Linked DNA regions of Nothobranchius furzeri. The protein of the gene in region 1 binds, or shares a complex with, the protein of each later gene. Links are inferred from orthologs where the notes say so. Each region holds a gene or a part of one and is shown in the gene's direction. Other genes may lie near its edges.

Region 1 (10,986 bases):
TCCACCTGCGCTCCGGACCGTTCTTCAGGACATTAGGAAAGGGAATGATGCAGTGATGTGTCAGTCGCTAAAGAAACAGCTCTCAGAGCCGGCTCCTTGTTGGAGTAACCAGAGCGAGTGACACACACACCGCACCTGCGGGCTCCTGAGCCTCTAAAAACAGCTAAATGTGCGCGTGCGGCACGCTAAAAACACGCATGTACATCTTGCCCCTGATTGCTGTGAAACCGGGTTGGGGGTGGGGGTGTAGCTGTGGTTGGGACAATTATTACATTAACTGATGGACTTGTAAATAAATAGTTCATAAATAAGGTAGAAATAAGTTCCTCACGCTGATAACAAATAACTAATCTCTCTGAGGACACTGTGCTGGTGTATTCTCCTACAGCACCTTGACATGACTAAATAAATGTTATACAACATTTTGTGAACATCAATTTATTTGCATTTATTTGTTATAAATGCCACTGTATAATTCTTGCTGTCAGTATTTGCAAGATATTGGTATTTGGGTCTGTACTGGTTAGACTTAAATGAGTTAAACCAAGGTCTATAGCCCTTGGGTCATAAACTATGAGCTATAAGTATATTGGTCTTTTTATACTGGGAATCAGGAGTTATTATAGTGATCATCTTGTTTCTTGTTTATTTTTGCCCTGATTGTGCCCTGAGCAGTTTTATGACTGAATAAAAACAAAATAAAAAAATCTACATAAATTGAAAAATCGTCTTAAATCATCGAGATCTCAATTTCAGTCACAATAATCGTGATTATTGTTTTTGCCATCATCGAGCAGCCCTACTTTAGCATATCCGGTCACATAATGATGACGTCATATTCAGTGGTCGTTCTGCATCATTTCAGGCCTCGTGGTCAACTGTCTGAACCGCTGAACAGAAGTGCCTGGCTTATTTTCTAAGTAAAATAAATATGTGCAATACGTTGTCAACATCAGCGAGTCTCTTAAGTCTATTCTTTTTGTATGTTATATATGTTAAAAAATGTGTAAATAGGTCGCTGATTAACATTTGCAATTTAGTGTTGTGATGGTTTTAAAAAAATTCTGAAGGTAGTAAAAAAAGTATTAAAAAGTAGTAAATTTTACTTAAGGATTGCTGTATATACCCTGCTAAACAGCATTTTAGTTGAAACTCTGCTCACAAATGGACTCACACTGGCTAAATAAACGAATAAATAAATAAAAAAACACATTAGTCATTATATTGTAAACGGTATACCAATAAATGGTTGTAAATATAGTACTGGCAAGTGTAGCTAGAAAGGAATAAAAAGTTGATGCCGCTACTGGTAGGCGAACCTGCGCAAAACTGCACGCCAGTCTGACTCCATGACCACTTCACCACTACATCTGATAACAGGGTAGTGGCGTCATATGTAATTGTTATACCCAGAGTGTCCTTGGAGATGGGATGTATGGTTTTTCCGGCAGTGTCTCAGTAGAAGTCATTTCAGAAATAATTTGTCAGAAAATTCACAGAATATCCAGATTTGAGAACCAAGACCAGCCCCGCTTCGGAGGAGGAGACCAAACTGAAGCTGAGATGGGAGGAAAATGCATGAATGAGGCCAAAAATGGCTTTGGCGTATTTCTTATGAGGAAATGACAATAAAACATGGTAAAAAGTTCCAAAAGTTAGATTTTTAATTATATGGAACCTTTACAAAAACTGTTCAGTTAACCTCTCAACTCCGTCCTCAATCTTGCATTTTAGATGATATTAGCTAGAACACCCTCTTTGGTTCCAGAATGCTGTCAAGTCTGACAACTGGAAGGAATTGGACTGACTCTGATGGAATGGGCGGGGCTGACTCTGGTGCAGCTCCGCCTTTGTGGTTCTGCAGCGAGCACTACTTGAATTATATTGGGACAATATGATGGAGCTAATCAGCTGAGAACTTAACTGAAAGCTACAGGTGGAGCACAGACATGAAATATTTAACAAACTTTAACAAACTGTACCAATTTTGGTTCCAAAGACAAACAGAATCCTCCCCGGTGTCCCAATCGGGCCGCGGGTTTTCTGGATGAAATGGTCCAAAGCATGTCTGCACCTCTGGTTCTGATATCCAGCTGCAGGGCACGGAGTTCAGTTTAACGTCTCTGGTAACCCAACATCTGTTCTCGTTGCCGTATCCCAGAGGAAAAAAACCCAAATCTGACCGGCTAGCAGAGGCTTCAGAAGCTACATCTGACTGATGGCACGTTGTTCTCTGCTATAACGCTAACGCAGAAACACCAGAGTCAGGTGCTGTTTACTATCTCTGTTTTAGCAGAGCGCCTTGTGAAACATCACCAGCTGCCCAGGGCTTAGACCGGAAGTCAGTTTCAGTTTTTCCCGCGCCAGTAAAAAACATCAGATTTTCTTAAAATTCCAGCCGCAAAAATCCTAAAACCTTTTTCATCTGAGGTTTTAATACTTCTGTACACGTGCCGTTCAAAGGAATTTTTCCTCTGGCCGATATCTTTAAAAAAACTGTTTTTTTATGAAGCGCCTCGTGATTATTATCTTGAGATGCGCTATTTAAAAGATCGTCTTCTTTCTTTTTTCAAAGAGAAATAATAAAGTTTTGCTGCGTCAGCCTGTAGGAGTTCTTGCTGAACTTTACCAGGGTGACGTGATGTTAAATTGGGAGGAAACCTTTGCCTTTTGAGTTAGATGTTTTTTTTCTTGTTTGCTTTAATAATCTCCTCCTCAGAGACACAGTGGACATAAGGAGATAAGTCAAAATGTCCCCAAAGGACAGGTAGTGGAAGGGTTAGTCAGTGAGGGGGGGGGGTTAGCTGTCATTAAATCCTAATTCAGCCCACAGCCTCCTGCTGGTGTTGTTGTTATTAAATATAAAAAGTTTATGATTCTTTGTGGTTTTAGTGTTTTCAGCAGCAGAGCCTGCTTTGTGCTTTGTCACATTTCATATGAGACCATTGGGTTCAAACGGATGAACCAATCGTGCCCAACGTGTTTTTCCTGTTATTTATCATATTTCAGTGATAATTGATTTAAGCTGTTAATTTAAAAACAATCATTTAAATGTAATTAAATAACCTGTTAAAAAGCACTAGAATGTGGGAAATGACATCTGCTCACGTAAGTGTTTCTGTGGGAGACCCCCAGACCAACACCCCCATCACCTGATGTCCTCTCTCTGTCCGTCCCTGGGACATGTGGCTAAACATGTCTCAGTCGTGTCCTCTTCTCAGAGGAGCAGAAACTTGTTAGCAGAAGGTAAATGAAGACTTTGCTGCTCTGTGTTAAAGCCAAAATCTCAACTCGGGTGTGACTGAGCAGGGACACGTAGAAAACATGCAGCCGTTGCGGCTTCAAGGACCAGGTCTGCCCTCCCTCCTTATACAGTACAGAGTTTGGCCATATTTCTTCTGCTTAATAAGAAAATGTTTAGATACTTAATTCAGGGTGTCCGCGGGGTTTTAAAAAGTATTAAAAAGTGATAAATAAAAATAGTCAAATTTAAGGCCATTAAAAGTGTTAAATTTGGTCTCAGAGGTATTATTTTTTCCAAATTAGGTATTATTTTTTTCAGACTATCAGATGTCGTATTCTGAACATCGACATAGAAATATATTCCGAATGAAATGTTTTGAACGATTATAAAAACAAAACAAGCCGATAATTTGCTCCTCCCACTTGCGCTGCCTTGAGATGCAAATGAAGCGCTCCTCCCAGTGTTGCCAAGTTAACTTAGCGACTTTGATGCTATTTCTAACAGCTTCTCAGACCCCCTTTTTGACTTTTTAAATCTTAAAAGTACCTAGGGAACACCTCAGAAACATCTCTGGTAACCCTTAGCTACTTTCTGGATAACTGTCGTCGACATTTCCTGCAGGTTAGCTAAACACTCCGCCTGCACTCCGGACCGTTCTTCAGGACATTAGGAAAGGGAATGATGTAGTGATGTGTCAGTCGCTAAAGACAGCTCTCAGAGCCGGCTCCCTGTTGGAGTAACCAGAGTGAGTGACACACACACCGCACCTGCGGACTCCTGAGCCGATAAAAACGGCTAAATGTGCGCGTGCGGCGCGCTAAACACACGCATGTACATCTTGCCCCTGATTGCTGTGAGACCGGGTTGGGCGGTGGGGGGTGCAGCTGTGGTTGAGACAATTATTACATTAACTGATGGACCTGTAAATAAATAGTTTATAAATAAGGTAGAAATAAGTTCCTCACGCTGATAAATAACTAATCTCTCTGAGGACACGGTGCTAGTGCACGCTCCTACAGCACCTTGACATGACTCAATAAATGTTATGCAACATTTAGTGAACAGCAATTTGCATTTATTTGTTATAAATGCCACTGTATAATTCTTGCTGTCAGTATTTGCAAGATATTGGTATTTGGGTCTGTACTGGTTAGACTTAAATGAGTTAAACCAAGGTCTACAGCCCTTGGGTCATAAACTATGAGCTATAAGTATATTGGTCTTTTTATACTGGGAATCAGGAGTTAATTTAGTGATCATCTTGTTTCTTGTTTATTTTTGCCCTGATTGTGCCCTGAGCAGTTTTATGACTGAATAAAAAAAAATTTAAAAATCTACATAAATTGAAAAATCATCTTAAATAATCGAGATCTCAATTTCAGTCACAATAATCGTGATTATTGTTTTTGCCATCATCGAGCAGCCCTACTTTAGCATATCCGGTCACATAATGATGACGTCATATTCAGTGGTCGTTGTGCATCATTTCAGGCCTCGTGCTCAACTGTCTGAACCGCTGAACAGAAGTGCCTGGCTTATTTTCTAAATAAAATAAATATGTGCAATACGTTGTCAACATCAGTGAGTCTCTAAGTCTATTCTTTTTGTATGTTATATATGTTAAAATATGTGTAAATAGGTCGCTGATTAACACTTGCAATTTAGTGTTGTGATGGTTTTAAAAAAATTCTGAAGGTAGTAAAAAAAAGTATTAAAAAGTAGTAAATTTTACTTAAGGATTGCTGTATATACCCTGTAATTACATTCTAGTTTATTCAATAACTGCTTGATTATTTTCTTCCACAAAGTTCACCAGCTTGATGCTTTTAAATCCAAAACGCCCCGAGTCACTGGCACTTTAATATGCTTGGGGGGCTCACCTTTTTCACTTTCGACCCGTTTTCATGTCGGCTCCTTAACCAGCTGGTAAAATCACAGGTTGCAGCAGCTCAAACTCTGGTTTCTGTGTCTGCAGGCTGAGGTTGTGATGAACTACCATGTAGGAGAGACCATGCTGTCGCTGCAGAAAACTACTCTGATCCCCGGAGGCTCGGAGTCTCTGGTCTACACCACGCTGTCCGGAGGCATCGGCATTCTGGTCCCCTTCACCTCACACGAGGTGAACTGGCTTTTGTTCTCAACAATCCAAAATCATTCACCTCCATCCACTCGTCAGCATTCCTAACTTCCCAACCCTCTCCCTCCTTTTCTCCAGGATCATGACTTCTTCCAGCATTTGGAGATGCACATGCGCTCAGAGTTCCCTCCGCTTTGTGGCAGAGATCATCTGAGTTTCCGGTCCTACTACTTCCCAGTGAAGGTTGGTGTTTTGATTTCAAGATGAATCAAACTTCTGACCCGATTCTCGTTTACTCCAAACAGGATTTACATCCGGATCTTTTAGACTTTGGTTCATTTTTTATTCATGGTCCTTTTGGTTGACCATGGACTGTGTGTTGGTGTAAATGAACAAAAGAGGTTTTGGGTCTCTGCATCAGAACCGGGCAGGAACCCATCAGACCTGAGCGATGCTTCAGAACCTCCAGCGGCCCTTTAGGAGCCGACTGGTTGGAGCTGAAGCGTTTCACCTTTCAGAACCACTTTATAATCTAGAGATTATTTTTCGTTTGTGATTGTGTACACTAGGGTTGTCACGGTAACCGGTGTAGCGGTAAACCCCGGTAAAAAAAGTTGATAATAATAATAACAGTCTTGTTTTTTAAAAACTATATTATCTCGGTGGGTTACCGTGGCTGCGGTGTAGGCGCGGTGACCCTTACCAGCCACCGTATCATCTGCTGAAGTTGCTGGCGGCACATGTGCACTTTGTTGTTTACAACCAAAACTTTCTTGAAGCTAAAGCTGAAATAATGGCCAAAGGAGGAGACGGCAGCGCTCAGGACATTTATTATCCCTCAAAGAAGACAAAGTGGGAAGTACAGGCATTTTTTTTGGTTATTTGAAGAATGCCGAGGGACAGCTGATAGAAGACGGCTATCCTGTTTGCAGCACGTGCAGAAAAAGTGTCTGTGAAAGGCAGCAACGCTTCAAATCTCATGACACATCTGCATGACCATCACCCACAACTCTACAGTCAACGCAAGGCAAGCTAACGTTAGCGTTTTAGCTAAAATGTGTGATCCGAGGATTTGGGTTGAGGGAGAATGCAACGAGTCGCTATATAAAGCAGCCGCAGCGCCGCTACCTGCATATAAACCGTGTCGCGGACACCCCCATGTTGAAATGACGCTATGCATTACGAGGCTCCCAGGGGCAGATAAGAGTTGGTCTCTCTCCGAGAATAATTATGAATTTAACAACGATTACTGCCTGATGACATTTTCCCACATCTGCAAAGCTCACTGGAAGGACACAAACCGAGGACAATATTTTCCTGATATAGGGTTTATTACTCAAGTAAGGGTAAAAAAAAGTATCGGATTAGAAGACTACTTGAGTACTGAGTATCATCTGATCTAATATTTTTAAATGATGACATCAAACAGACAAAAAATAAGAAGTTATGGGCAAATATTGTATTTTAAAGACTAAAGGGAAAAAATGTAAATAAACAACATAATTTCAAAGTAACCCGTTTTAGGCTAAATTTAGACACAAACTGAGGACAACATTTTCCTGATATACAGGGTTTATCTAGTTGTCTGAAAATGTAACACGTTTAAAAAATACCGAAAACCGTGATCATTTTGGTCACAATAACCGTGAAGTAAATTTTCACACCGTGACAACCCTATTGTACACTACGGCAAACCAGATATCCCTCTGGGACAAGGGTGATGTAGAGGTCAGGACCGGGACCGTAGAACTGAACTCTCAAGGATTTTTCTTTTTACAGAACGTGATCGACGGAGATCTCTGTGAGCAGTTTAACAGCATGGATCCACACAAACAGAAGAGTGTGGCTGAGGAGCTGGACCGGACCCCTCCAGAAGTTTCTAAGAAGCTGGAGGACATTCGTACTCGCTACGCCTTCTAACCACACACACACACACACACACACACACACACACACACACACACACACACACACAGCAGCAGCAGCGGTCAGCTGATTCTGCGGTTTAACCAGCACAATTTCCTCCTCTTCCCACACAGACGGCACACGGGTTACGGGTGTAATTACAGAGAATTTACCATCAGGTTTTCATACTGACCCGAGCCGTCTGTCATCGGCCAACCAAGATCATTTGGATGATATCTGGTGGGAAAGTTTGGTGCTGCTGGGAAACGAGGCTTAAAAATGTAAATATTAGTTTGTTTTTCATCGTTTAATAAAACAGGTTTTCTATGTTGTGATTATGTTCAACAGTTATCAGTTAGAATACAGAAACATTATTCTAGCAGGTGGAGGTGACGTCTCTCCTCACCTCCACCTGCTGGGGCCAACGGAAGCCCGGCGGGGTCATTAGACAAGGAGGAAGAAACTCAGACCAAGTGGGCAGCATTCCCATCGGTGAGTAAAGTCCCAACCTCGGCCACAGATGGCATTCCACTAAATCACTGGACTTGGGGTTTGTGGGACGAGACAGAGGTCTGTTTTTGTAAATAAAGTTGTTTTTAAAAAAAAACCTGTTGATGTTCTCGTCTGTGTGTGGAACTCATTACATCCATTAGACATCAGGAAGTGTTTTCCAGAAACTGATGATCGTCTGCAAAGTACTGGGGAAATGTCAAACCCCCACAGAACAAGTAACTTCTGTTACTGAAGGCCTTGACGTCGAAGCCATTAGTGAGAGTGGTGCCCATCTCCAGCAGTCAACGGGCAAGTAGGCGGGGTACACCCTGGACAGAGCCAGTCCATCGCAGGGCAACACCGAGACACACAGGACAAACAATCGTGCACACACACCTAAGGACAATTTGGACTGACCAGTCAACCTAACAGTCATGTTTTTGGACTGGGAGGAAGCCAGAGTACCTGGAGAGAACCCACGCATGCACAGGGAGAACATGCCAACTCCATGCAGAAAGATCCCAGGCCGGGAATCGAACCCAGGACCTTCTCGCTGCAAGGCAACAGCTCTAACCACTGCACAGCCCCTGTTTGAATAAAATCTGAGGACCAAACCACGCTTTACCAACCAGCTGAGCCACTTTTGGAGGGAAATTTCTATAAAACTTGTGTTTAAGGGTCAAAAGGTCACTTCAGACAATGAAATGGGATCAGATGAGTTACTTTTTTGGAGTTGGTGACGGAACAAACCGACTTCTCTGGAAACCATCTGGTGAACCACCATCAACAACCTCCTGGCCCTTGACAGAATATAATAACTCGACAGATTTAGTTAGAGGTTTTTTTTTTTTTTTTTTTTTTTTTTTTTTGCTTTAACCATTGTTTGTATCCACGGATATTCCCAACAAAAATCCAAAGTTTGGCATCTAAACGTGCCATTGTTTGTTTCTGCTGCTGGCTGTGGTCCAACAAGTAGCTCCAGAGCTTGCTTGGACCCATCTGGCACTTGGATCCGTTTACATGTCGGCATGGGCCCGGCGCTCCAGCTCCAGCTCCAGCTGACAGCAGCTTGTTTAAATTTCATAACAGCGGGAACGTAATGATTAGCTTCTGCGGGGATGAGAAACCCAAAAGGCTCCTCCTGGTCAGACTAAACCAGCCCGGTGAAACACAATGGCTGGATGGTGGATTTTCATAGAAACAAAACCACAAAGGAAGGTCAGTAAAATATGTAATAAAACAATAAAACTATTCTTTGCTGTGATGAGTTGATGCAGCAAACATGTGGCTTTTGTTTTTGGGAGGAGAGTTCATGTCCAGCTGCTGCAAATCAACTCAAGTGACCCCAACGTTACACCGGCTGTTAACTTCCGGTTTTCACGCCATCAGGTTAACTTAAGCATCAGAAATCTGTTTTCCATTAATTATTCTGGAAAATCCATCCATTTTCATCCAAGGCCGGGCGTCAGTCCCGATCAGAACCACCTCAGCTGGTTCCTTCTGATGATGATGAGGAGCAGCCGTCTGAGGCTGATCCCACAGGAGAGAGAGGTCACTGAAACTGCTTGTTTGGTAGATTTACAACTTTATGAATCCAGAAACACTGACATTAAAACAGGAATTACCTTTGGAAGTTATCTGAGATCATGAGGCCAAACCAGCTGGAGTATTATTGGATACAGAATTTAGTTTCTGATTTTTCTTAAGATCAGGTTGTAGACCAAGTCTGAGATCAGGTATTCTAAATCGAACATCTAAATCTGCCGTCTCCACCGTGATGAAAACAGTCAGCATTCCTTCTAAGGTGGAGCTTCTCGGTCTGTTTGTGTTTTATGTTGCAGAAGTCGCTGGATTTGTTCTCTTGCTGTTTTGGCTCCAAAAAGCTGCACTTGACCAACTCAGGCTGCGTGTGTGTTTACATGTTTCACATACTGTTGTCTAATTATAGTCACATAATTGTGTGTTTGGTGGTTTTATTGTTTTCACGTCAGAAAAAAAATGTCACGTTATAGTTTTTCGGTCCTCAGAGCCACAAGCATGCTGATGAAGAGGAGCTGTGGGACGACGTGCAAACACACAATCCACCCCATTCACCCCCTTTTTTCTCAAGAGACCCTTTATCTCCTAGATCAGCCCCCGAGCCGGTAAGTGACATTTTATAAATCTGCAGGAGCAGAAAGCAGCTCTGTGAAGAAGAGGAAGTGAAACAGTTTTGTTATCAAGCACTGGAACAAACTCTTTAAAAGTCACATTTATCCATGATGCTGTGAGGTCTGTTAGGCTCTGTTCCGTAAACTGAAAACATTCCCGTTTTTCTGCTTTCACGGTTTCTGTCTCTCATTGATCCATTTCTGATGTTTCAGAAACATCTTGTCTGATTCTCCAGGGGTCTCCTGCTTCCTGTGGTTTCCCTCAAAGTGGTTCTGGACCCCCAAGGCAGCTGTCAGTCTTCCCAGGAGGAGCCGTCGCCGGCAGGTTCACAGCAAGGTCAGAGGTCAGCTGTTAACATGATGATTTGATAAAGACTGAGCAAGTTTACCTTGTTTCTGATTTAAGTCTGGTAGTTTTCAGTATTGAAACCAATTTTTTTTTACATAAAAACTGAAAGAACATTCGAAATCCAGATTTAGACCAATTAGATCTCTTAAACATAAAATATGAATTCAGAATCAAAAAGCCTTTATTGCTAATGTTTGTGAATGCAATGAGACAATGAGCACGCAAAAGGTGGACTTAAAGGAAACAACTTTTAAAATGTTCTATGGTCGGTATAAAGGATTTTTAGAAGTTCTTTGCATTTTCGGTACCTTCCAGAATGAGCCTTTTCAGGGCTCTGCCACTTTAAGAAAATAAGCTACTGCTGGCCACACCGAGCAGGGTCCAGCCAGCAGCAGGGCGTTTCTGCTTGGCCTACAAAAACACCTTAGTGGGGGTTACTGTAGATTCTCACTAACCAATCAGATTGGGCTTCAAAATATGTAATTTTCCTTCTAAGCTAATTGATCGTGTCGCGCCGCCACACCTATAGAATACATTGTTTGTTGATCTTTTTCAAGATATTGTAATGACAACTTGTTTTTCAGATCTTCATTCCAGGTTACTGTTGGCTGCAACCCACGCCTTAGCTCCAGGAAAAACAATGTTAATAATCTCCGTTCAAACTAACTCGTTTTCTCTTTCTAAACAACCGAACCGGAACTCTCCTCACAACCGGCCAAGAACATCCCTTCAACATAAAAGTCCAACCATAACAAATCGTAACCCGTTA
Region 2 (11,074 bases), on another chromosome or scaffold:
GGTAATTCTTTCTATTCTGGAACTATCCGGTCAACTCAAGCCCTGCTTTTGACTGTTCTGTTTTCTTGTGAAAATTGTTGGAAAGAGATCAAATTTAACTTGATTACCACCAGAGCCAGTGCGCCGTCATCTCCGTGATGGTAAACGAGGGAAAAACAAATTGATCGAATCCTGCACGTCTTTTAACACATTGGTCAGGATTGACGCACGTTGCTTTCATTTAGCTGGTTAAAAAAAATCGGGCTCGGGCCAGAGAATCCTGAAAACCTTTTCGGGCCGGGTCGGGCTGGGGCTCCACCCCCTCAGGCCGGGCCGGACACGGGCTCAGATTTGAGGCCTGTGCAGGGCTCTACCTCAAAGCGCAACACTGTGTTTGGCCAGTAGGTGGAAGTAATACGGCATAGAAATTCAATTCAATTCAAAAATACTTTTTTTTTTTTTGAATTAGAAAATTTAAAATTGAATTAGAGATGCTGTTTAAACAATATAATCAAATAAACAGGAAGAAATAAACACAAGTTACAGCAACCACTGTGATTTCAGCTTCAAATTAAACCAACAATGAATCTGCGTGAATGAGGAAGTGACAGGGAGTGAGAATGAGATTCCGCACCTTCTGGTATGCTAGCTAGTTGTTTTCTCTATCAGCATTCACAGCGTTAAATTTGCTGATACTGATTAGCCCAAAATTCTCCAGTTCTCTCTAGCAACCAAACATGATTGGCTGTCTAGTTGCAGTTTAGGAGCACTGGAGGAGTGAAAATGGTGGGCCTGATGGAGGAAATTCATTGTTTAATGAGAGACAGCTGATGAAAATTATGAATCATTCAAATTGCATGTGGGCACACACAATTAAGAAAATCTGACACATTAATAGTAAATATGTGAATATTTATATATATTGTAGTCTTATTTACTTTTTAGAATTACGCAGGAAGGCCGGCACTCCTTATGGACCAGCCACCACTGTTTACATTCATAATTTAATAAAATACATTTGAGTTCATTGCATAAATCTGTAAAAAACATTTTTGGAGTTATTGAAATTATGGATGTTTTCACATCATGACACCAATAATTAAAGGTGCAGTCTGATTTTAGCCAGACTCACTGTTATTGGACTCACCTTCCCAGTGAGGCGGTGGATTTCAGTTCGAAAGAATATAAGATTCCTCCTCATAAACTCATAACTGCAAGAGTATAGACAAGATACATTAAACAGTTTTTTTGGTTTAAGAACCAATATTATATAATAAGTTCACAGACGACTGTTGATCCTAACTTAAAATACGTGTAAAACAACAGTGTGAACATCTAACTGTATTTTACTCTGTACACTTGAGGTCAGATAAGTCTGGACTGATCTTAAAGAGCAAGTCACTCCCAAATCAACTTATTTTTTCTGATAAACTAAATGTGCGTTTAATTGTGCTGCAGACACGTGTAGTCAATAGTTTAGCACTTTATTTAAAATTTTAATTTTCTGCCTAAAACTGTCAGTGTTGTGCCATTGTCAGGTAAAAACTCAGCACTGCATTTGAATTTAAATCTGCCATCCCTATTGGCTAAGAGGTACCTTAAAACGTTAGCTGGTACCATATGATGTCACAATGTCGTTGTGAGCCTGTGTGTGTGTGCGTGTGCGTGTGTGTGTGGATTTGTTAGTGGCCCCGCCCTCTCAGTCTGCTAGGCAACAGCATTTGTTGCATTTGACCAAACAGGAAGTGGGAGTGGAGTAATACTTTGGTAGGGGGTGACTTGCTCTTTAAACAGCAGATCACAGCAAAAAGGAAAATTAAAAAGTCTGTTTTACCTTGCTTTAATAATAGAGTCTATCCACTCCTTACATTGCTCCTCGGAGTTGCACTCAAACACGTATTTTTTCTCAGTTTCATCTAGAAATGCTACAGAGAGACAAACACAACATTAACAAAATGTCACCGCCAATCAGCCTGTAAGAAATCAACACAGAAAGGGAGTCTGGGGCTCACTAATAGAGAAGGTCTGACTGTCCTCTTTCTCCACCCGGCACTGCTCCAACAACAAGGCTCCAATTGGCTGAAAAATAAACACTGAACTCATTAAAATGTTACAGCTCATCATCAGGGACAGAGAAAAAAAACTCATCTAACCTCCTCCTCATCTGTCCGGAAGTAAAAAAGGAAGTTAACTACGAGTTTCACCAGCCGCCTCTTGACAACTGAAAACACACACGCACGCGCGTACACGTACACACACAGAGAGAGAGAGAGAGAGAGAGAGAGAGAGAGAGAGAGAGAGAGAGAGAGAGAGAGAGAGAGAGAGAGAGAGAGAGAGAGAGAGAGATGATCAGTTTCACCGATATGACCCAAAATAACACCAAGCGGAAGTGAAAAGTGACGGAGAAAGTAACAGGTCTTACCGTCTCCTTTCTTCGGACCTCGCATTCCCATTTCAGCGGCCATCTCTGAAGGCTGGCGGCTCAGAGAGACCAGCTCCCTCTCGTTGAAACGCATCGCGTAAAATGGGAGGGGGGACACCTTTGCTAGTCTCTACGACCAAAACATTTCAAATAGAGTTAAAATAATAATATAAATGCAGTAGTTTCGTTGTTTATCATGTCGACTTATTCTGATTCTTTATCCGATGTCCTGAAAACGTGATGGAGAGTGTTTGGTTATTTCCAGGGTGAAGTAAAGTCAAGTGAACGGCATCTGCTAAACAAACAGGAAACGCTGATCGGTTCTTCTTCTAGTGGAGAGTTTAACGGTGCTTGTTAAACCAAATAGAAATACGCTTTCGCCACCTAGTGGGCTAACGCTTAAATGGCTCGTAAGAGCGAGGAGTTGCATGATGTCTGGATAGATAACTTTATAAACGTTCACTGATTAATATTAAAACTTTATGTTCCTCAAATACATTAAATATATGTTTGAGTGCTTCTGACTGAACAATAAACATTTACTCATTACTTGAGGTAGTTTTTGTCCCGTGCCCTGCAACTACAAAATAATTTTTCTAGTTTTTCCTATTGTTTTATAAACATTGAATTATAAATTACTTTATTTTCTTACAGGACTTACTATTTTCTTTTGTTAAACCGTGGCACATATAGCAAAATATTTCCTGAAGTATTTTAAAATGAAAATAATTATTACATTTTAGAAAAAAATCAAACATCACTCTGTTCAGGTTATGTTCTTCTTTTTCTTAACTGAAAAGTACTACTATGCCACGACAAAACGTTGCAGTATAAAAATTGATTCGCAAAATAATATTGCAAGACTTAAAATGAAGCACATTGATTTAAAAATCCATGATTGGGAGAAAAGAGTATTGAAAAGATTCCTTGTTAAATTAAATAACTGGAATAACACCAAATGTTGAACTGGTTGGTTTTATGCCTGTTTAAACTGCTGATACTAGCTCATCAAATTCAAAGCTCGTGCTCCATGAGAGCTAAGTGTAGTGAAAAATGGGTTTAGCAAAATTGACAAAGCAAAAGCATCCATCTGTTTTCTTCTGCTTATATGGAGTCAGCTTGTGGGGGCAGCAGCCTAAGCTAAGAGGCCCTCCCCAGGTTGGGCCAGCTCCTCCAGGGGAATCCCAAGGCGTTCCCTTGCCATTCGTGTGACATAGTCCCTCCAACATGTCCTGGGTCTTCTTTAGGTCTCCTCCAGGTTGGACATGCTCAGAAAACCTCACCATGGAGGCATCTAGGAGGCATCCTAATCAGATGCCTGAGCCACCTCAACTGGCTCCTCTACACCGAGCCCCTCCGGATGACTGAACTTCTCACCCTATCTCTAAGTGAGAGCCCAGAAACCCTGCAGAGAAAACTAATTTTGGCTTCTTGTATCTGCAATCTCGTTCTTTTGGTCACTACCCAAAGCTCATGACTAAAGGTGAGGGTAGGAACATAGATCGGCCGGTAAATCGAGAGCTTCGCCTTCTGGCTCAGCTCTCTCTTCACTACGACAGATCGGTACAACGTCCGCATTACTGCAGACACGATCTCATCCCACCTGTAAATCTCACTCGCCATCTTTCCCTCACTCGTGAACAAGACCCTGAGATGTATAAACTCCTCCACTTGGGGCAGGATCTCATCCCTGGACCCAGAGAAGGCATTCTACCCTTTTCTGACTCAGGACCATAGTCTCGGATTTAGAGGAGCTGATGCTCATCCCAGCTGCTTCACATTCGTTTGTGAACTGCTCCAGTGAGAGACGGAGATCACGTTCTGATGAAGCCATCAGGACCATGTCATCTGCAAAAAGCAGAGACCCCATCCTTAGGCCACCAAAATGAATGCCTTCAACACTTTGGCTGTGCCTCGAAATTCTCCATAAAAGTTATGAATAGAATTGGTGACAAAGGGCAGCCTTGGCAGAGTCAACCTCTCACCGGAAACGAACCCGGCCTACTGCTGGCAATGCGGACCAAGCACTGACACCAGTCATATAGGGACCTTACAGCCCCTATCAGAGGGCCTGGTACCCCATACTCCCAAAGTACCCCCACAGGGTCCCCCGAGAGATGCGGTCCAACACCTTGTCTAAATCTACAATTAGTTTAAATCCAGACCCTAAAAGTGAAAGCAACAAAATCAATAAAAGTTGGGAAACAAAACCATAGCAAAAGAAATAATACAAACAATTGATCCAAAATTAAAGAGAACATATTAAATAAATAAACAAAAATGCAAATGTTTCATATCGTTTTTTTAATTTATTTTTCACATTTTAAATGTAGCCCTTTACTCCTAAATAAACTAATCTCTTAGGTCTTTATTATATGCTTTTATCCGCAAACGTTTGTTCGTCGGTCAGTTTTACTCCTGACCACTAGATGGCAATGAATGTTTGAAACTATTTATGAACTGCTTAAGCTGAGAACCAACACGCATGCGCAAAACAATTCTGTCCATCACAGTTTGTCGTTAGATTTGTTTGGGAGAACGTAAGTTTATTTATAATATTTAGCTAGTATTTTGTTGTGCAGTTCGCTGAGCAGTAACGCTAAAACATTGATTAGGCTATATTTAATTTCATTCTGATAGTTTGTTCATTTTGGTAGGTTTAAAACTATCCTTGCATATATGGTAGCACTGTTAGCATTGTCAGAACGACGTCCATCGATGCTAAATGCTAACAGTAAAATGTGCGCGAAAGGATAGTTCAATATAGGGATTTTCTAGTTATGTTATTAAAAATTAAGACGTTTCAACCTAGAATCATGACAAATTGATAAATTGATGAAAGGGGTGTCGGGAAGAAAGTCTTTATGATTTGAGTTATAGATTTAACACATACACGCATACATACATATACAGTCCTGACTAATGTTCACTATTAATACTACATTTAAGGAACTGTGCCGCTCAGATATTCATTCTGGCTGCTGTAACACATAGCGTTACCATTTTATCAGCAATTATATGAAAGTTGTTGAATTTATATTTATGATAGTGTTACTACGTGCATACTGCTTTGTACAGTACTTATAGTTGTGAATGTTTTCTACATTTGAAATAGCATATGTTTCTCAGTTTTATAGGGATGGTAAAAATAAAACACCAGGGGTTCAGTTTTAACTGAACTGGCTTTTTCTGTTTTTTGTTTTGTGTTTATTTGAAGAAATACACGATACATTATGTTTGGTCTGTCCCTTTGATGCTATATGTTTATGTTGTCTTTAGACTGAGTTCATCACTTCAAAAAAATGGATTTCCAGCATCGAGCTGGAGGGAAGACTGGAAGTGGAGGGGTGGCGTCTGCCTCTGAGAGTAACCGGGACAGGCGTGAACGGTTACGTCAGCTGGCTCTAGAGACCATCGACATCAACAAGGACCCCTATTTTATGAAGAATCATTTAGGTTCTTATGAATGCAAACTTTGTTTGACACTTCACAACAATGAGGTGAGGAGGCACTTAACGGATTGGATTGGGCTATGTTAGAATTTTTGATATTTGGGAATTGTGTTTCTAAAGAAAACCCTCTACTTGATTTTAGGGCAGCTACTTGGCTCACACACAGGGAAAGAAGCATCAGACCAATTTGTAAGTCAACCTAAAACATTCTCTAACACAATTAATTGCTACTAGTTCAATATTTGTCAGTAAACATTTTCCTGTATAATTTTTTCTTTCTGAGTTAAATCTTTTCTATTTGGTGTTTTAGAGCACGAAGAGCAGCCAAAGAGGCAAAAGAAGCGCCGGCTCAACCAGCTCCAGCAAAGGTTAAAGTTGAGGTCAAGAAGTTTGTCAAAATCGGTCGACCAGGATACAAAGGTACACTGGCTGCATGGTTCTATATTAGATCAACATTATTTGGCTTTTTGTAACAACTTTTGATCCTCGTCTTTCTCTTTTTTTCACAGTGACAAAACAGAGGGACCCAGAGACTGGTCAGCAGTCTTTACTTTTTCAGGTGAAAATAAAAAATATATTTTAATTCTGGAAAAATCCTGCTGTGTTTCTGGGAATCTGAGACACTTGATAATAGGCTTTATGCTTTATTGTTCGTGTGAAACCAAAGTTAAATGCCATCATATGTTTAGCTCCACTTTAATTATTTTCCAGCCCAATATAACAGTTTTGCTCCCATTGTATGACCCCATTGTGGACACCACTTGAAGATGCGTTGCAGATACAAAACAAACTCCTATAGTTCCTATCAGGGCAATAATAACCAGATGTTACAACATCTGACAAGTTGTTTTTATTTCCCATATTAATCAGATCGACTATCCAGAGGTTGCTGAAGGAATTGGACCCAGGCACCGTTTCATGTCTGCTTATGAGCAGCGTATCGAGCCTCCTGACCGTCGCTGGCAGTACCTGCTGTTTGCTGCTGAACCATATGAAACTATTTCCTTTAAGGTGGATGAAAACTGTAATTTTTGTCATTGTGCTCATGTGTCACATTTCCGTAACATTAAAATGTTTGCTCCTTTAAGGTCCCCAGCAGGGAAATTGATAAAGCAGAAAACCGCTTCTGGACTCACTGGAACAGGGAAACTAAACAGGTACTGACTCTGCTTTGTTTTTACTAAAAAACTAATTTAAAAAATTTTCTAATGTATGAATGTTTTGTTTTCGTTCAGTTTTTCCTGCAGTTCCACTTTAAAATGGAGAAAGCCATTTCTGGTGGTCCAGCTCCTCCTGGCAACTTAAAGCACCCCGCTTCACTTATGAGTGGCCACCCATCAAACGACGGTCTTCCACCTCCACCACCAGGAGGGATGTCTGTTCCTCCTCTGCCACCCGGGGCACCAGGTCCCCCCCAAATGCCCCCACAAATGCCCATGCCCCCCATGCCAATGAGGCCACCTCCCCCAGAGGGCCTTATGCAGTGATAATTTGCTGTTAGAAATTGCATTGGTGGTCAGTTGTTCTGCTCTGCCTGTTTTGTATTTTTAGGATGTTGGATATCTTCAGTAGATTTTCATAACTTTGTTTGCCTAAAAATAAAATTCTAAAGCTAAATGTTATGGAAACATTATCGTCCTCTTGTAAACTAATATCTGGACACATTTTTATTTCTTATGTCCATTTTTTAATTAAAATACACAAATACTGAAAATACCTGAGTGTTTGTTCTACAAAAAATACAGAGAATTATCTGAAGTTTACTCTGATCAGGTTAAAATAAAACAAATCAACAAAATTGATTTTTCTGTATTTAAATTGATCTTCAACACTGCCTAAATCAGTTTGAATTATATTTTAACAGCAGTTTTCATTTTGGTATCAATTATTCAGACTATGTATTCAGTGTATGTACTCATAAAATCTTTTTAAAATAAAATGTTTTAATTTTATGAACTTCTGCTGAACACACAGATGTTTTATTTTTTTGTGACCCAAGTTTCCAGGGGTGACCATGACCCCAATTGGAAACCTTTTGAGGACTGTTGGTAATCACAAACTATGGATTAGAGAACATTCTCAAAAAAATTTGATGTGCTCCACGCCAAATATCATTCAAGAGTTTCTTTGTCCTGTGTCTGTGGACACTCCAGTCTGCTGCAATGAAGACCTCTGAAGATATCCATCAGCATTGCTTTCTCTGGCAGAAGACTTTCGAAGATGCTCCATGGCATTGCAAAAGTGTTCGCCTTACCCTTCGCTGCCACTGGCCCAGTTTGGAGCCTTTGTTTGGGCATTTCACCTCGGAGATGTGACAAACTGAATTTATGTTTATGTATTTAGCAGAATTTGTATAATGTTTCATACAATCTATTTGTAAGAATCGTTAATCACGATTTTTGTAGCTCATGTTTGCAGTAGATTTTCTGCCTTACACGAGTAACCAACGGGGGGCGCTCTAGAGTCGTTTACAGCATTTGCCCCATTTAATCACAAGTGGGGGATGAAATTATGTTTCTAGTTAGGCACATCTATTTAACAATATGCGCACAGTTTAACCTGACTACGTTTTTTTTTATTCTGACAGCGTCCGTACCTCATATTTTGTCAATATATTTTGACATGTTCTGATATATTTTTTGTAAAGGAGGCTGACCTATATAATTGTAAAATACCAGACAATTAACGAATATTAGCCTGCGTGGCTTATCATTTCAAGGCCTGGGTGCGGTTTACACATCGCACCAGCCACGCCTTTTCCTGTCACAACGGAACAGTCGTTCGTAAAGACGGCGGGTCAGCTGACAGGCATCAGCGGACCGGGGGAAGGAAGAAGCGGAATTTGCGGCTGTGAGCAGGGATTCTGTTGGACATAAAATACACCCAAAGGCTAGCCTGGAAGCCAAAGAGTGGTGGTGTTCGTGAAAGAACAAGAGTAAGTTAACGAAACGGAGATTCAGTCATGTATTTTTGCAGTAAAAACGATTTACTGTGATCTGTAAACCGCCAGAGAAAACAGGTGAGCGCTCTCTTTCGTTGACGACGCTAACATTAGCAACTCCTCAGCTAACCGCGGCTAGTTAACGTCAAGCTAGCCGCGGTTAGCTTGATGATAACGGAAAGCATGCTTTAAGATTCCTTCAAAGCTTAAAACGTGCCATCACATAACATTTTGATGCTGTTTTAGTTGGTTTGTTATGTAATTCATATCGTTTACACGTAAGTCACTGTAACTTGCTGTAACACACGCGATAACCTCAGTTTTTCTACCCACCGGAAGCCCGTTAAAAATCCGCTCGGCTCGCTGAGGATCGTCGGCAGCTAGCCTGCTAAATTAGCTAGCCATCGCTGTCTTCAGGGTATTCTCCATCACTTTGATCATACTGAAGGTCAAATTTTGAACCGAGCTAATACATTTAAATAACGTTTTAAACAAACCATACAGGGAAAAGATTATACATCGATGGTAGAAAAATATATAAAATGTATGAACATTGGTAAATGGCCCGAGTGAGCAGACATCTTGACTAAACCGATAAATGTACGATTCAGGTTTGGTGCAGGGTTTAATCGGTCACGACTGCTAGTAGTAATTTGTTTAAGAAAATTCTCAACACTCTCTATAAAAGTGTTTCAGTTATGCCTTCTAGGAATGCCATGGATGTCCTTTTTCCATCCTAAATTTTCTAGAAGCAGCATTTTTTAAACTGGCAGTTTTATTAGTAAAATACACTTAATTAAAAAAAACTTACATCCCCACGGGGATAAAAATGGTACATTTCGGATGTTAGTCCTACCAGGTCTAGGTAGGGTTTAGCGGACTATGATGATCTCAGATTTATATCTTTATCTGGTAGCATCCTACCCCAAACCGGTGGCTGCTGCTAATCTGTTAATCTTATTTGGAAGTGTGTGTGTGTGTGTGTGTGTGTGTGTGTGTGTGTGTGTGTGTGTGTGTGTGTGTGTGTGTGTGAGAAAGAGAGAGGTGAAGCTGCCTAAAAAGCTGGTGCAGCTATGCAAATGAGTGATTTAATAAAGTCACTAATGGTGTAGTGCAGCTGCAAGAGAGTGTGTGAGTGAGAGAAACAGGAAAACGGATGCGAGGGACAAGTGCCTCTCTGTACTGTGGGTGACTTTTACTTTACACTGCTTTTACTTTCCTATCTCCCCTTTTCCTTCCCAAATTTCAATCTTTTTTTTTATCCTCAGGAGGGGTTTGGTTTCATCATGGCAAGTTGGGATTGAGAAGCATTCACAATGATTGGAGGATTGTTCATCTACAACCACAAGGGAGAGGTTCTCATCTCCCGCGTCTACCGAGATGACATAGGGTATGTTTCTCAGACATTATGTGCGATGATAATCTTGTGGGTGGACTGTTTAGGTTTGATTCTGGATGAGAGGATTATTATGGGTTTCTGTTTAGCTAAATTAGTGTTTGGCATGTTTCTGCAAAGAAACAACACAATTTTATTGTCTGAGGCAATGATTTGCTTCCCTTGTGCTTATCATAAACCACACCTTCAAATTAAAAGATTAGACGCAGCTGTGTGGAATGCTCAAATTCAAATTGGCTTCACTGCCAGTTTCCTCATGGTGGGATAGTATTTGAATTATCATTTTCTTCTTCTGACCAAGTAATTTATTTGCTAAAATGTGTTCCTTTTCTTCTTTTTTTTTTTTTTGCCTCAATACATTTGTGTTTGCAAATACACTTGACTACACTTGTGATTTTCTCACTCTTGTAAGTCAAACTGTTTAATGCAAAATAGACCTTTCTGTATTGATGATTAATATTGAATGCATTATTTTATACAATGCTATGGTTAATATTTTACTTTGTTAGCAAAATATATAAATAATTATTTCTGCTGTAATCATTTACACTAAACGAAAAGAGGCGTGTCTGTGAGCAGAATATCTTATTGCTGCATCTGTGGTAAATTTAATTAATTTGTTCACCTTTGCTCTTTTAAATGTCTGAGTTCATTAGAGCAGGGGTTCCCAAATTGGGGGTCTGGGCCCCCAAGGTGTCCCAATAAGATTACTGGGCATTTTCTTAGCTGAGGTTGGCAAGATTTTATTTGTAAAAAAAAAAAAATTACATTTAGAAAATCATGGTAACACACCCTACAGTATAATCAGAACTCCATATAAAAGTTTGTAAATGATCACATTAATGTGTAATGCATGTTGGGGTTGGGGTCCTGGCTTGTCTTGG
Region 3 (11,086 bases), on another chromosome or scaffold:
GCAGCACTTCAGGGCTCAGCCATGGCAGCACCTTTACGCTGTACTGGGGGAAGTCGTGGACTACTTTTGCCCTCTGGCCATTTCGGATCAGACTGAAAATGCTCCGCAGACCAGACATGCAGACCTGTCCGTCTGCAGATATCAAAACGTGGCTGGCCTTCACACTCCTGCATGAACAAGACGGTTTCCAGATGAAAACAGTACAATGACATTCAGCTTTCTATCAATGGTTAAAAAAATAATAATAAAACACATTAAAAATACCAAAAAAAAAATGTATTTGATGCTGGTAATGACTTGTTGTTTATTAATGATTAAGTTAAGAGGATTATAAGTAAATGTGGTTTTTTAAACTGCTTTATTGTCCAAAATCTCAAAGATAATTTCTGAATCTCTCATTTCATGTTCCTCTCTTGTAGTTTTTAACACTTTACTAGCCACGACCAACACAGAAAGACCTGCCTCCTCTGAGCTGAGAAAACTCACCGGTGGACGTATCCCATGTGGTGGATGTACTCCAGCGCTTTGAGCATCCCTAGCAGGATGTATGCAATGGTCAGTTCACTCATACCGTCTGTAAAATGTGTGCAGATAAGGTCTCTAGCCGATCCTGTGAGGTGAAACATAATCACACAAGTCACCCTCCATTCACACAAGATGCTTCCGTTACATCCCAGCCGTTTCCTTACCGTACGCCATGAATGGTGTGATCACCCACAGCTCATTTTCAGCTATGAAGACGCTCTTGTATGGTAGAATGCTAGAGTGATGGAACAACTTTGACACGTGGAGTTCCCCCTAGTGGGAAAAAAGAGAGAAATGCATCTTAGAAAACGGTAACCCGACAGAAGTCAGAAGAAGTTGTGCAATACAGACAGAAGAGAAGGAGTTCCCAGGAAAGCAGAGGAAGAGACCCATAGGATCCAGTAATGATGCAGACCTGCAGATAGGTCACCATGTCATTAGTGCACGACTCCAAGTCGATCCGCCGAATGGCCACGTGTTCCCCGGTGGGTTTGTATCGAGCCATATTCACCGTCATCAAATCGTCCAAGCCCTTCCCTTCAAAACACACACTGACTTTGTTTAGGTTTAAATTCTAAATGATAAAGTTCATAGTGAATTGTTGGTGGCACAGATCCGGCTGCTTTTTAAAGGAAAGTAAAAACGTGTTGCTCGTGCCTCAGTGTGCAATTACCAATAACTGTGAGGAGCTCATAGGAGCTGCTGTCAGGGAGGAAGCTGCCCATGCTGTCTGGATGAGGCAGAGAGGTCAGACTCTCCTGACTGTCCTCATGAGCCTGGAGGAGGAGAGGAAGAAATAGCCAAATGATGTCCCGACGCTCTCAAAAAAGGGCTTCCTGGGTCAGTCACTAAAACAGCAGCCTGACGTAATACCACAGCGTTAATGAAACCCAAATCATCTGTGAAATGATAAATATCAGGAAAACTAACTGCTGGTCCAAAACGATTCAGTGATCAGGTTAAAAGTCCTGCTAAACAGTGAAGAGTAGCCCAGAGCCTCAGAAAGGCACAACATTAGTGAAACACAGAGAAAATTGTGATTTTTCTATTAAAAAAAAAAACAAACTAATGTTTTATTAAAAAGAAACGTGAAGCTTGTGCTCAACTCGTCAACGACAAATGATTTTACTCATCCTAAAAAATGTGACAGGAAACGGTAAAACTGTTGGCAGTGAGGACTCCTGAATTCCATCACGTTATCACTAAAGTGATGGAAATTAACCAACCGCAGCGGCGAGCTGTGGGGGCAAATGAAGGCAAATGAATGATTGCTTGAGTTGTTTCCAAGGCGACCAAAATGAGAAGAAGCCTACAGCATGAAAAGAGCCAACTTCACCTTTGCGGGTAAAACCAAAGCTTGTTCCACGTGCTGATGATTCCAGTGAATGTTCATTTAGATATTTTGGCTTTATGCACCCCCCCCACTCAAAGTTAACATTATAACCGTCACAGCAGAGAGGCCAAGCATGCCGAGACAGCCGCTGATTCGAGAGTATCTGAATCACCAGGGCCTTCCACCACGAACTCCACTGATCTACAGGCTGCAGGAACGCTGTCTGCTTGCCAGTCATTACACAGAAAAACACAGCAAATACAGAACATTTCATCGACACCAAAAGGGTCGAAACTTTCAGTGGAGCTCCAAAAAACATCCAAACCCCAAACGGAGCGGCTGCATGGAGCACAGCATGTGTTAGCAACACGTTTAACTCACATGACAAATTAGTTTTATTTTCTCTGTGAGGAATAACAACTTGAATAAGCAGCAGGCGCTACCGTGAGTGACCAAAAGGCCCAGCTATACAAGCATGTGCAGCAGCATGTGTCATGTGCTGGGCACTCATGCATACATACATGTGCAAAGCCTTGGGAGGGCTGTAGATTTCTCCATATAGAAATCCTAGTGTGCACATACATACGGTATAAGTGCATGCATGCACAGACACAAAAGGCACGTGAGGATGACGATGCAGTGACAGGAGTACCACACTTACTTTCCTGTGTGAGAGTCCCTGAGCTTGCTCTGGGGCAGAAAAACCAAGTCAATGACACAAAAACACGTAAACAACGACAACAAGAGAAGGGTCTGCGTTGAGAGGGGCTTTTAGAGCTGGTAGGCTCTGTCTCTGGATGTCAGGGTTAGCGTTGTGGCATTTGTCACGACAAGCAGCTTTGTTGTTCATGTGGCCACACACAGAGCAGCAGGGTCATGTTACCATTAAGGACACCAGTCTGTAGAAAGTCTGATTTATAGCAGCTACTCCGCAAGTCCTTTAAAGAGCCAGGCAACAGAAAGTGAGCACAGCCAAAACCGAAGCTGCACAAACGTGCACGAGTTACCAACGGCCTGCAAACATAACAAAGATGAAAACCAGGGAATTTTACAAATGGAATAACAAAAAAATGAGAAAACTAAAGTTTGCACAATACTGAAAGCCTTCTGTAAAGTAATAATAATAATAATAATAATAACACTGTTTACCTAAATAATATCACCAAAAGTAACTTCAGAAAACAGGATTTTGGAGTCTTATTTCCAGTTATTTGGACGTCTCGCCTCTGATTGGCTAACAGCAACGCAGCTCTACCACAGACTGTTTGCTTACCAGTGTTGATGTTTTATCTGTACTAAAAACACAAGCCTGGCGGAGTTCTGCTGTGTGGTGGCCGAGGCATTCTCTGCTCTCTCCTGGACGCTAAACCAACAACAGCCTTCCTCGTCGTGAGTCGAGATGGGTGAGTCCATGAGTGTTAAGTGACAGCGTGACGTAGATCTGTCAGGATTTTCTAATCCTGGAGTTTCACCATCGATTTTCTATCAGAAGCTAAAGCAGGAGTTAGGTGTAGGAGACTATTTTCATGTTCAGCCTGCATGAAAATCTCAGTGGCCGATCTTTTAAAAAAATAATAAGTAAAAATTGTTTCTCAGTGAAGAAACAACAACACGCATTAACCAGGAAACAGTTTCCTCTGGACTTAGATATCATAAATTAGCCATCTGTGTACCTTAACTTAGCAAATCATAATAATTATCAAATAAGCTCAACAGGTAGACTTAAAGACACCGGGTGAAATATGGTTTTTAGATCGCTGTTTTTAAAAAAAATGCGCTTCTGGTTCTTTAAAAATGTACTTTTAGTCTCTAAAAATATTCTGTGACTGCACCAATGGCAGAGATTTGAACATCCGAAGAAAGAGAACAACAATTCTGAATATAAAATTATTAAATTTAATTCAAACTAAACTTCACCTGTAAAATGAGAGCAACCTTCTAATAATTCTATATATTCCTTTAATGTTTTCCTTACCTTCTCTCCTAAACAAGCATGCACAAGATTTTAATTAGCAGGTGATTTTTGTTTAAAATTCTCTGATCGAACATTGAGACGAACAGAAATAATGGCACGATGCAGACCAAGACAGGTTAGACAAGAATGATGAGCGATACATTTATGATGGCATCTGAAAGCAGAGCACAGCGAGCACTCAAAGGATAGCGCACACCAACTGGATTGTTTGTTTTTTTGTCTCCTCAAGGGAAATAAAAGCTATTGCCGGAAGTAACTGAGCATGCTAAAACACCCCGTTAAAAACTTGAACCTCACCTCCAAATAACTCCAAATCCCGCAGGCTCTCCACACTCAATTTCTCAGATACCCAACGCTGACAGACACAGAGGGTTAATAACAAGCATGAAAAAGAGAGAAATGCAAGCAAGAGTAAGAAAATATTTTAGAGCAACACAAAGAGAAAGTATTTCTTGTTGGTGACTGCAGGTGTTAATGATGAGAACTTAATTTACAGATGAGCAAGATTCTTGTATCTTCTTATATAGGAAAAAAGCCACAAAAATATAATTAAAACAAATAAAAATATGTTTGTATTGTATAAACTTTAACATTAAATAACATTGTGTAAATAAAATCTTTCTTCGGGAACTGATTAAATTTACTGGAAATCTTTGGTAACAATTCCATAAAGTTGATGAAAGTTAATCGTGTTCTGGGCTAGCAGCCCTGTGGGCCGGTGTGTGTGGAATGACTCAGCAAACACTTACAAGAAAAGACATCGATCCACTTGAGTTTGTTACATGCGATGCTGAAAAATCTGTAAAAATAAAAGAAAAATCTATGACGAGGATCTTTTTCTGCTTTTTTCCACATTTAACTACAGATTTCTGTTTCACTATCATTAATATGTATTTCTGCATTTAGTTTTGTCCAATAAAAATGTTTTCAGACTTGTGTACGATCAAAATGCTGTATTTTTTATATTTAGGGCTCCTGAGAACATCCAAGCTGAATTCGTCATTTATCATGGGTTTTCTCTGAACAGGATGAAGCTAGTTTGACCTGTTTTAATATCCCTGATAGATTTTAGTTGTTTCTGTAACATAAAGAGTGATCTGTTTACCTGAACTGCTGAGTCAGTATTTTAAGTTTACAGAAAACTTAATAAAAACACAGTGGATGAATACTTTACACTAGGGGTGCACTGATTGCAGTTTTTGGCCGATCTTGAGGAAAAACCTGACTTGCAATACCGATACCAATGTTGTCTTAACTTTAAGCAGATTACGTCAAAGTTTCAATTTCCTTTTATTGAGAAAATCATTATTTTTATATCAAATATTAATGAACATATTTAACATTACTGTTTGAACTACAAAATCACATTTGTTCCTTTAGACTTTCATTTTTATAATTTTAAATACAAAACTTTTGTACCTGTTTTGACACAATCGTCCCAAAAAATAGGAATTATTTGCTTTAACACTAACTAGGGGTGCGCCAATTGCAGTTTTTGGCCGATAAACAATCTTGAAAAATACCCAAGATCAGGGCCGATAAATCAGTGAACCCCTACTTTACACCTCTTAATGAGGATGAAATCGTTACGCACTTTGACAGAAAGATTATTCCAACAATTTGTAATTTATTATTATTATTTAGGACAAAAATTCAACAATTGTCAGCATAAACCCATTTCCATTCTATGTCTTGCAATACGTTAAACAGCAGCACAGATATCTGGAATAATTCCCTATATTTAAGCAAATGCTTCTTATAAAAGCTCACCATTAAAACACAAAACCATTACAGGTATTGTTGAGTCAGTTTTAGCTCGCCGTGGAACTGGCTAGCAACAACAAACCACCGTCAGCTGCTGCAGCTGTCGGCGCGTATTTCAACAAACATATACAGCGTTGTTTAAACAGTATAAATACTTACCTATTTCATGTGAAAAACAACGATCTAATACAAAATTTATGAAACCTTATTTATCGAGCCATTCTCTTCAACTCAACGTTCTCTGTCGCGCACGGACGACGACACGCCCACGGAGCGTCCGCGCGTGTTGATGACGCATTCACCACTGCGTATGCTAGCGCCACAGGAGCTTTATTTACTACATTCAAAAGAAGGTAAACAAATGTACACTAATGGCTGTTTTCATAAAAATTCTTATCTTTTGTTGTTAAACATTGTTACACTATACAGCCACTTTTTACAGACGTACCAGAAGAATGAGAGACTTGCGTCAACATCGAGTGTTTCTACGCACATACACCTCGGCCTTAGCGCGGCCTTCAGCTAATGCTAACATTCTGTTCGTGTTAAGCAGATTTAGTAGATCCCGAAAGTTATTTATTCGCGCTGGTTTTCTGTCAGAAAGGAAATTAACACAACGTTTTGTCATCTTTGGACTTTAATATGTAATGGTATTACAAACGACGAGTCGTTTCGATTCGTTTTCCCGGTTGAACGAGTGGTGAAAATACGTTATTTTACATGAAACTCTCTTTTAAATATTAAATTGGTGCCAGTTGTTGTTTATGAATCTGAATGTTATTGATTTACTGGCAGAGTGAATTAGAGCCACGGTTTGTGTAGTCTTTATCTGACTTACTAAACAACCACTAAAACCCAATCGTTAACGTTTAGTCTTTAATTCTACTAAGTTACTATGTGTCATTTTTACTTTATATATATATAAACGTGATTGGCCAAAAAATGTTTTTAGATGACTAGATTTTGTTCAAAGCTTTACACTTTTTGCACTGCTAAGCGGCGATCAAGCCAAAATCAAAATTAAGCACATTTTAGGTGAGTTTCAATATTTTTTGCACCCTTGCACCCATGGTGATTTACATGCGAACATATGCTCAAAACAAATCTGTTTGATTCCCTGTCTTGTAAACATAAATGTTATACAGATTACATGCTATACTTCCAGCATTTGATAAAAATTCAAGTTTTTTCTAGAAATTAAGACGGCCACCTGTGGCCTTATTAAGGCCGTCTGTGTGGCCAACTGCCGCCACTTCTAGACTAAAGAAAGGACCCAACGAACCCCAACACAGTTTTTTTAGGTTTTTTAAAATATTTCAAATGAAATATATATTGAGAGATTTATTGGCTATTAATTAATATTGCACACATTGACTATTCAGTTGTCTTTCACAATCAATGTGCTGCTAAAACATATATATATATATGTATATATATATATATATATATATATATATATATATATATGATATTATATATATACACATACACATATATTATATATAATATATATATATATATATATATATTAGGCCTATATATATAGGCCTTAATAATCTGCTTCAGATATCGGCCATCTACAACAAAATTCTTTACAAATCGGTATCGGCCTTAAAAACCATATTAGTCAGCCTCTGGCTTAAACTACGATTTTGGTTTAAATAAAACCATCAGCTTGAAGTGATTCTTGGTCAAAGATACCAGAAGTCTCCTCCGAGGGGCAGATGAACTAAACCAGGGATTCCCAAAGTGTGGTGCGCGCACCCCCGGGGGTGCGCGAGCTGCCGCTAGGGGGTGCGCGAGGTGAAAAGTGTAATGGCTGCGGAGCTCAGAGAAGTCTGTCATGTGTCACCATTAGCGTAGAAATTCATTTGTGGGTGGGCCGAAGAAAAAGTAAGTGGGCCCAATAAATGTCATTGAAAACAAGTATATTTTTGCGCGCGCGTGTCCTTCACATGTGCCCTAGCTTCATAATAACAATGCGCCGAGCTTCAGCACTCTGGCCTGCACACGCCGATATGTTCCGTCGCGCGCGCGTGTGTCCTCCGCATGTGCCCTAGCTTCATAATAAGAATGCGTCGAGCTTCAGCACTCTGGCCTGCGCACGCCGATATGTTCCGTATTTGATCATTTTTAACGGTGTTGGAGAAATCTGAAGGTGGCGAGTCATTCTGGCAGATTGTAATTAACACCTGTCTCATGCAGGTGTTCTGACATTGTAAACCTCACACACAGAACATTGTGGAAATGATTCCCATTCAGGCTATTGACAGCGCGCTGAAGATCTGAAGTTCAGAGTGCGTCTGTCAGAAGTCAGACGCGTTCCAGCGGAACCACGGCTCACGGGTGCACATGTGAGCACATCTGGGCTGGGCAGAAGTAATTTTACAACATTGGTTTATAGCGCCAATAACGAGGCGCGGTGACTTGAGCGGCTGTGCCGCGCGCGCACACACACACAGATTCAATAAGCGCGCACGCTGCTTTAACTCCGGCGCGCCGTCAGACTGAAGGCAGAAATGAACGCTGCCTCCACCGTGATAAAAACTTTTAAGAGGTTATTTTTCATTCAAGGTCAAATTAAGATATTAGCTTCTGGGATGAGTCGGGTCCGCTCCAGCCAGTGACTCCTCATGAACCTGACCACAAGTCCTTTTACTGCAGCATTTGTTATTCCAGTCAGCATGACAGCGGATCGCAGATTCAGCCACACCATAAAACAGCAATAAGTCGGTCTGAGGTAAAAGTGAACATCATGGCTATATCTTGTCCCCTATAGACATTTGATTACGCATAAGTAGGTGATCAGCTCAGGTTTATGCAGAGCAGAAGGAAGGAGAGCGCTCTGGCCGCACAGGTTAAACGTTCCTACTTTAAGAAAACCGTTAAATTGCATTGTTTATGTGCTACCTGGGCACTCTAAATATTTATTTAAAATGAAATCAAAGGAAATTGTAATGGTATCGAATGTTTATTAATTACTATTTAAAAAATGAAAGTGATGGGGAATTTTTTTTTAACCCTGTCAGCTTAGCTTGACATCTGATAGAGAGAGAGAGAGAGAGAGAGAGAGAGAGAGAGAGAGAGAGAGAGAGAGAGAGAGAGAGAGAGAGAGAGAGAGAGAGAGAGAGAGAGAGAGAGAGAGAGAGAGAGAGAGAGAGAGAGAGAGAGAGAGAGAGAGAGAGAGAGAGAGAGAGAGAGAGAGAGAGAGAGAGAGAGAGAGAGAGAGAGAGAGAGAGAGAGAGAGAGAGAGAGAGAGAGAGAGAGAGAGAGAGAGAGAGAGAGAGAGAGAGAGAGAGAGAGAGAGAGAGAGAGAGAGAGAGAGAGAGAGAGAGAGAGAGAGAGAGAGAGAGAGAGAGAGAGAGAGAGAGAGAGAGAGAGAGAGAGAGAGATGCCCTGATGTGGGGCTGGGGGGTGTCGACATGGTCGGGACATAGAAGGGGGTGCGCGGCTAAATAAGTTTGGGAACCACTGAACTAAACGATATGAGGCCCCAGAGCTGCAGGTTGCAGACCCTCTCCATCTGCTCCTTGTTTTTATTACTGTTGACCAAAGTTGACAATTTTAACATTATTCATGTATGAATTCAGAAGGGTTTTGTAAGTGAAGGGACATTTACGTTTGTCTTTTCCCCCACAGCTCAGCCATGAACTGGAACAAGGGTGGCCCAGGTGTCAAGCGAGGGTTTGGGTTTGGAGGTTTTTCCCTTGCAGGGAAGAAAGAGGAACCTCAACTTCCTCAGAAGACTCACACAACATTTGGAGCTCCAGGATCAAGTGGAGGATACGGGAACAACCAGCAGCTCCCATCATTCTATAAAATAGGGACAAAAAGAGCTAATTTTGATGAGGAAAATGCGTGAGTGCCAACTGTCGGTGATAAATGTGTCAGTTATCTCTGGACCTGTTTAATGTAGTAATGAAATTTGTATTTTTCATGTTTGACCAGGTATTTTGAAGACGATGAAGAGGAGTCCAGCAGCAACGTGGATCTTCCGTACATTCCAGCTGAGAACTCCCCCACACGGCAGCAGATGAAGTCAGGTGGTGGCTCTGATAGCGAAGATGACCCCTTGGATGCCTTCATGGCAGAAGTTGAGGTGCGAAAATTGTAGCCGCTGTTCCATTTGTGCACTACGAATAAAATTAAAGCAGGTGTTACACAGAAGCTTACAGCAATGTATCTTTAACAGATCTTTCTTTTTTGCTTAGGACCAAGCAGCCAAAGACATGAGGAAACTCGAGGAAAAGGAGAAAAAGTTGTCCAAGTAAGACTCTTAATTTGTTTATTTTGGTCTCCAATAATCTGTTCAAAAGCCCAACCATTACACGCATATTTTTTTACGAATCGCACTAATGTGAGCTAATTTAGTCTTAGTTGGAGTTTCATTAGCTTAGCATGAGCAGCCTTTAGAGTTGCTCCCTCTGCTGTCACAAAAGAGCCATGCACCTGAGTTATTATAAGCTGGTAAGCAGATTTAGCGCCCTAAAGTTGTTTTTGGGTTGTTGGTTGTGTTTGGTGTACGAACGAGTTGCAGGGAAGTTTTTTTTTTCTCCGCTTGTTTTTCCAGGGGTGTTCGTGATGACATTGAAGAAGAAGATGAACAAGTGAGTGAGCCCTCCACAGTTATTAATCAGAGTCGTTTTCCCTCTGATCTTACAAAGCATCATCTCTCGGTTGCATTTAGGACTATTTTTGTGGTTGGACGATTTTTTTTAATCCGTCATCAAATGAGGAAAATTGCGATGAATGCGTATCTATTTGTCATCTAACTTCAAATGTTGTATCCTCCACAGGAAGCCTACTTCCGCTACATGGCAGAGAATCCCACCGCTGGGCTCACCCAAGAAGAAGAAGAAGACATTATTGACTATGATAGCGATGGAAATCCAATTCCTTCTGCGACCAAGAAAATCATCATGCCACTTCCTCCTATTGACCACTCTGAGGTAAAGCTGACAACAGCAGTCAAGAGCAGATAACCAAACAGCCCTTTGTGTTTTGATTCTGTGTAAAGTAAACAGTTTAGTTGTGGTTTTTAAACCTGTTCTCTGGTCTTTTGTTTCATAGATTGACTATCCACCATTTGAGAAAAACTTTTACAACGAGCACGAGGAGCTCGGTTGCCTCACTGGGACTCAGGTGTTGGACTTGCGGCACAAACTCAACTTGAGAGTAAGTCGGTTGTTATTTTCATGCTTGTTTATAAATTAAACTAATTAGAAAACAAAGTAAATGCAGTCTGGACTAATGTGGGTTTGTTTGTTTTTTTCTTTCAGGTATCCGGCGCCGCCCCTCCGAAACCTTGCACCAGTTTCGCCCACTTTGGCTTTGATGAGCAGCTGATGCACCAAATTAGAAAGTCTGAATATACTCAGCCTACGCCGATTCAGTGTCAGGTACAGTTTCAGATCGTACCGAGACTTCTTTGTGGTTGAAAGTAAAGTTTGATAAACCCGAATCTTGTTCTGATTAGGGTGTTCCTATTG

Evidence for each region.
Region 2: sf3b3 (region 1) and sf3a2 share a complex: the UniProt entries of both Homo sapiens proteins name them as parts of the 17S U2 SnRNP complex. The link is inferred for Nothobranchius furzeri from reciprocal best matches to the Homo sapiens genes SF3B3 and SF3A2.
Region 3: the proteins of sf3b3 (region 1) and ddx42 are in contact, whole or in part, in a cryo-EM structure (PDB 7EVN), measured with the Homo sapiens proteins. The link is inferred for Nothobranchius furzeri from reciprocal best matches to the Homo sapiens genes SF3B3 and DDX42. Residues at the interface, in NP_036558.3 of Homo sapiens: Glu159, Ala160, His161, Tyr211, His219, Val220, Val221, Arg222, Lys223; in NP_031398.2 of Homo sapiens: Lys145, Gly146, Ile147, Arg148, Asp149, Asp150.

What each region holds. Positions count from the first base shown.
Region 1 is NC_091744.1:81,751,239-81,762,224, reverse strand, and holds the end of sf3b3 (splicing factor 3B subunit 3), read left to right. Parts: intron 1-5,219; coding exon 5,220-5,363; intron 5,364-5,459; coding exon 5,460-5,564; intron 5,565-7,100; coding exon 7,101-7,241; 3' UTR 7,242-7,262; downstream 7,263-10,986. UniProt on the Homo sapiens protein: Component of the 17S U2 SnRNP complex of the spliceosome, a large ribonucleoprotein complex that removes introns from transcribed pre-mRNAs.
Region 2 is NC_091751.1:56,888,199-56,899,272, forward strand, and holds sf3a2 (splicing factor 3A subunit 2), read left to right. Parts: upstream 1-4,852; 5' UTR 4,853-4,941; intron 4,942-5,680; 5' UTR 5,681-5,703; coding exon 5,704-5,901; intron 5,902-5,995; coding exon 5,996-6,042; intron 6,043-6,163; coding exon 6,164-6,273; intron 6,274-6,362; coding exon 6,363-6,412; intron 6,413-6,723; coding exon 6,724-6,864; intron 6,865-6,941; coding exon 6,942-7,010; intron 7,011-7,088; coding exon 7,089-7,340; 3' UTR 7,341-7,567; downstream 7,568-11,074. Other genes in the region: plekhj1 (pleckstrin homology domain-containing family J member 1), read right to left, coding at 1,127-1,190, 1,814-1,904, 1,992-2,058, 2,133-2,200, 2,402-2,495; AP-2 complex subunit mu-A, read left to right, coding at 10,111-10,184. UniProt on the Homo sapiens protein: Component of the 17S U2 SnRNP complex of the spliceosome, a large ribonucleoprotein complex that removes introns from transcribed pre-mRNAs.
Region 3 is NC_091745.1:10,014,637-10,025,722, forward strand, and holds the start of ddx42 (ATP-dependent RNA helicase DDX42), read left to right. Parts: upstream 1-5,853; 5' UTR 5,854-5,950; intron 5,951-9,236; 5' UTR 9,237-9,243; coding exon 9,244-9,455; intron 9,456-9,545; coding exon 9,546-9,696; intron 9,697-9,808; coding exon 9,809-9,864; intron 9,865-10,167; coding exon 10,168-10,204; intron 10,205-10,393; coding exon 10,394-10,546; intron 10,547-10,667; coding exon 10,668-10,772; intron 10,773-10,876; coding exon 10,877-10,996; intron 10,997-11,073; coding exon 11,074-11,086. Other genes in the region: strada (STE20-related kinase adapter protein alpha), read right to left, coding at 1-167, 487-610, 690-798, 941-1,062, 1,199-1,301, 2,520-2,548, 4,131-4,188, 4,583-4,594. UniProt on the Homo sapiens protein: ATP-dependent RNA helicase that binds to partially double-stranded RNAs (dsRNAs) in order to unwind RNA secondary structures. Unwinding is promoted in the presence of single-strand binding proteins.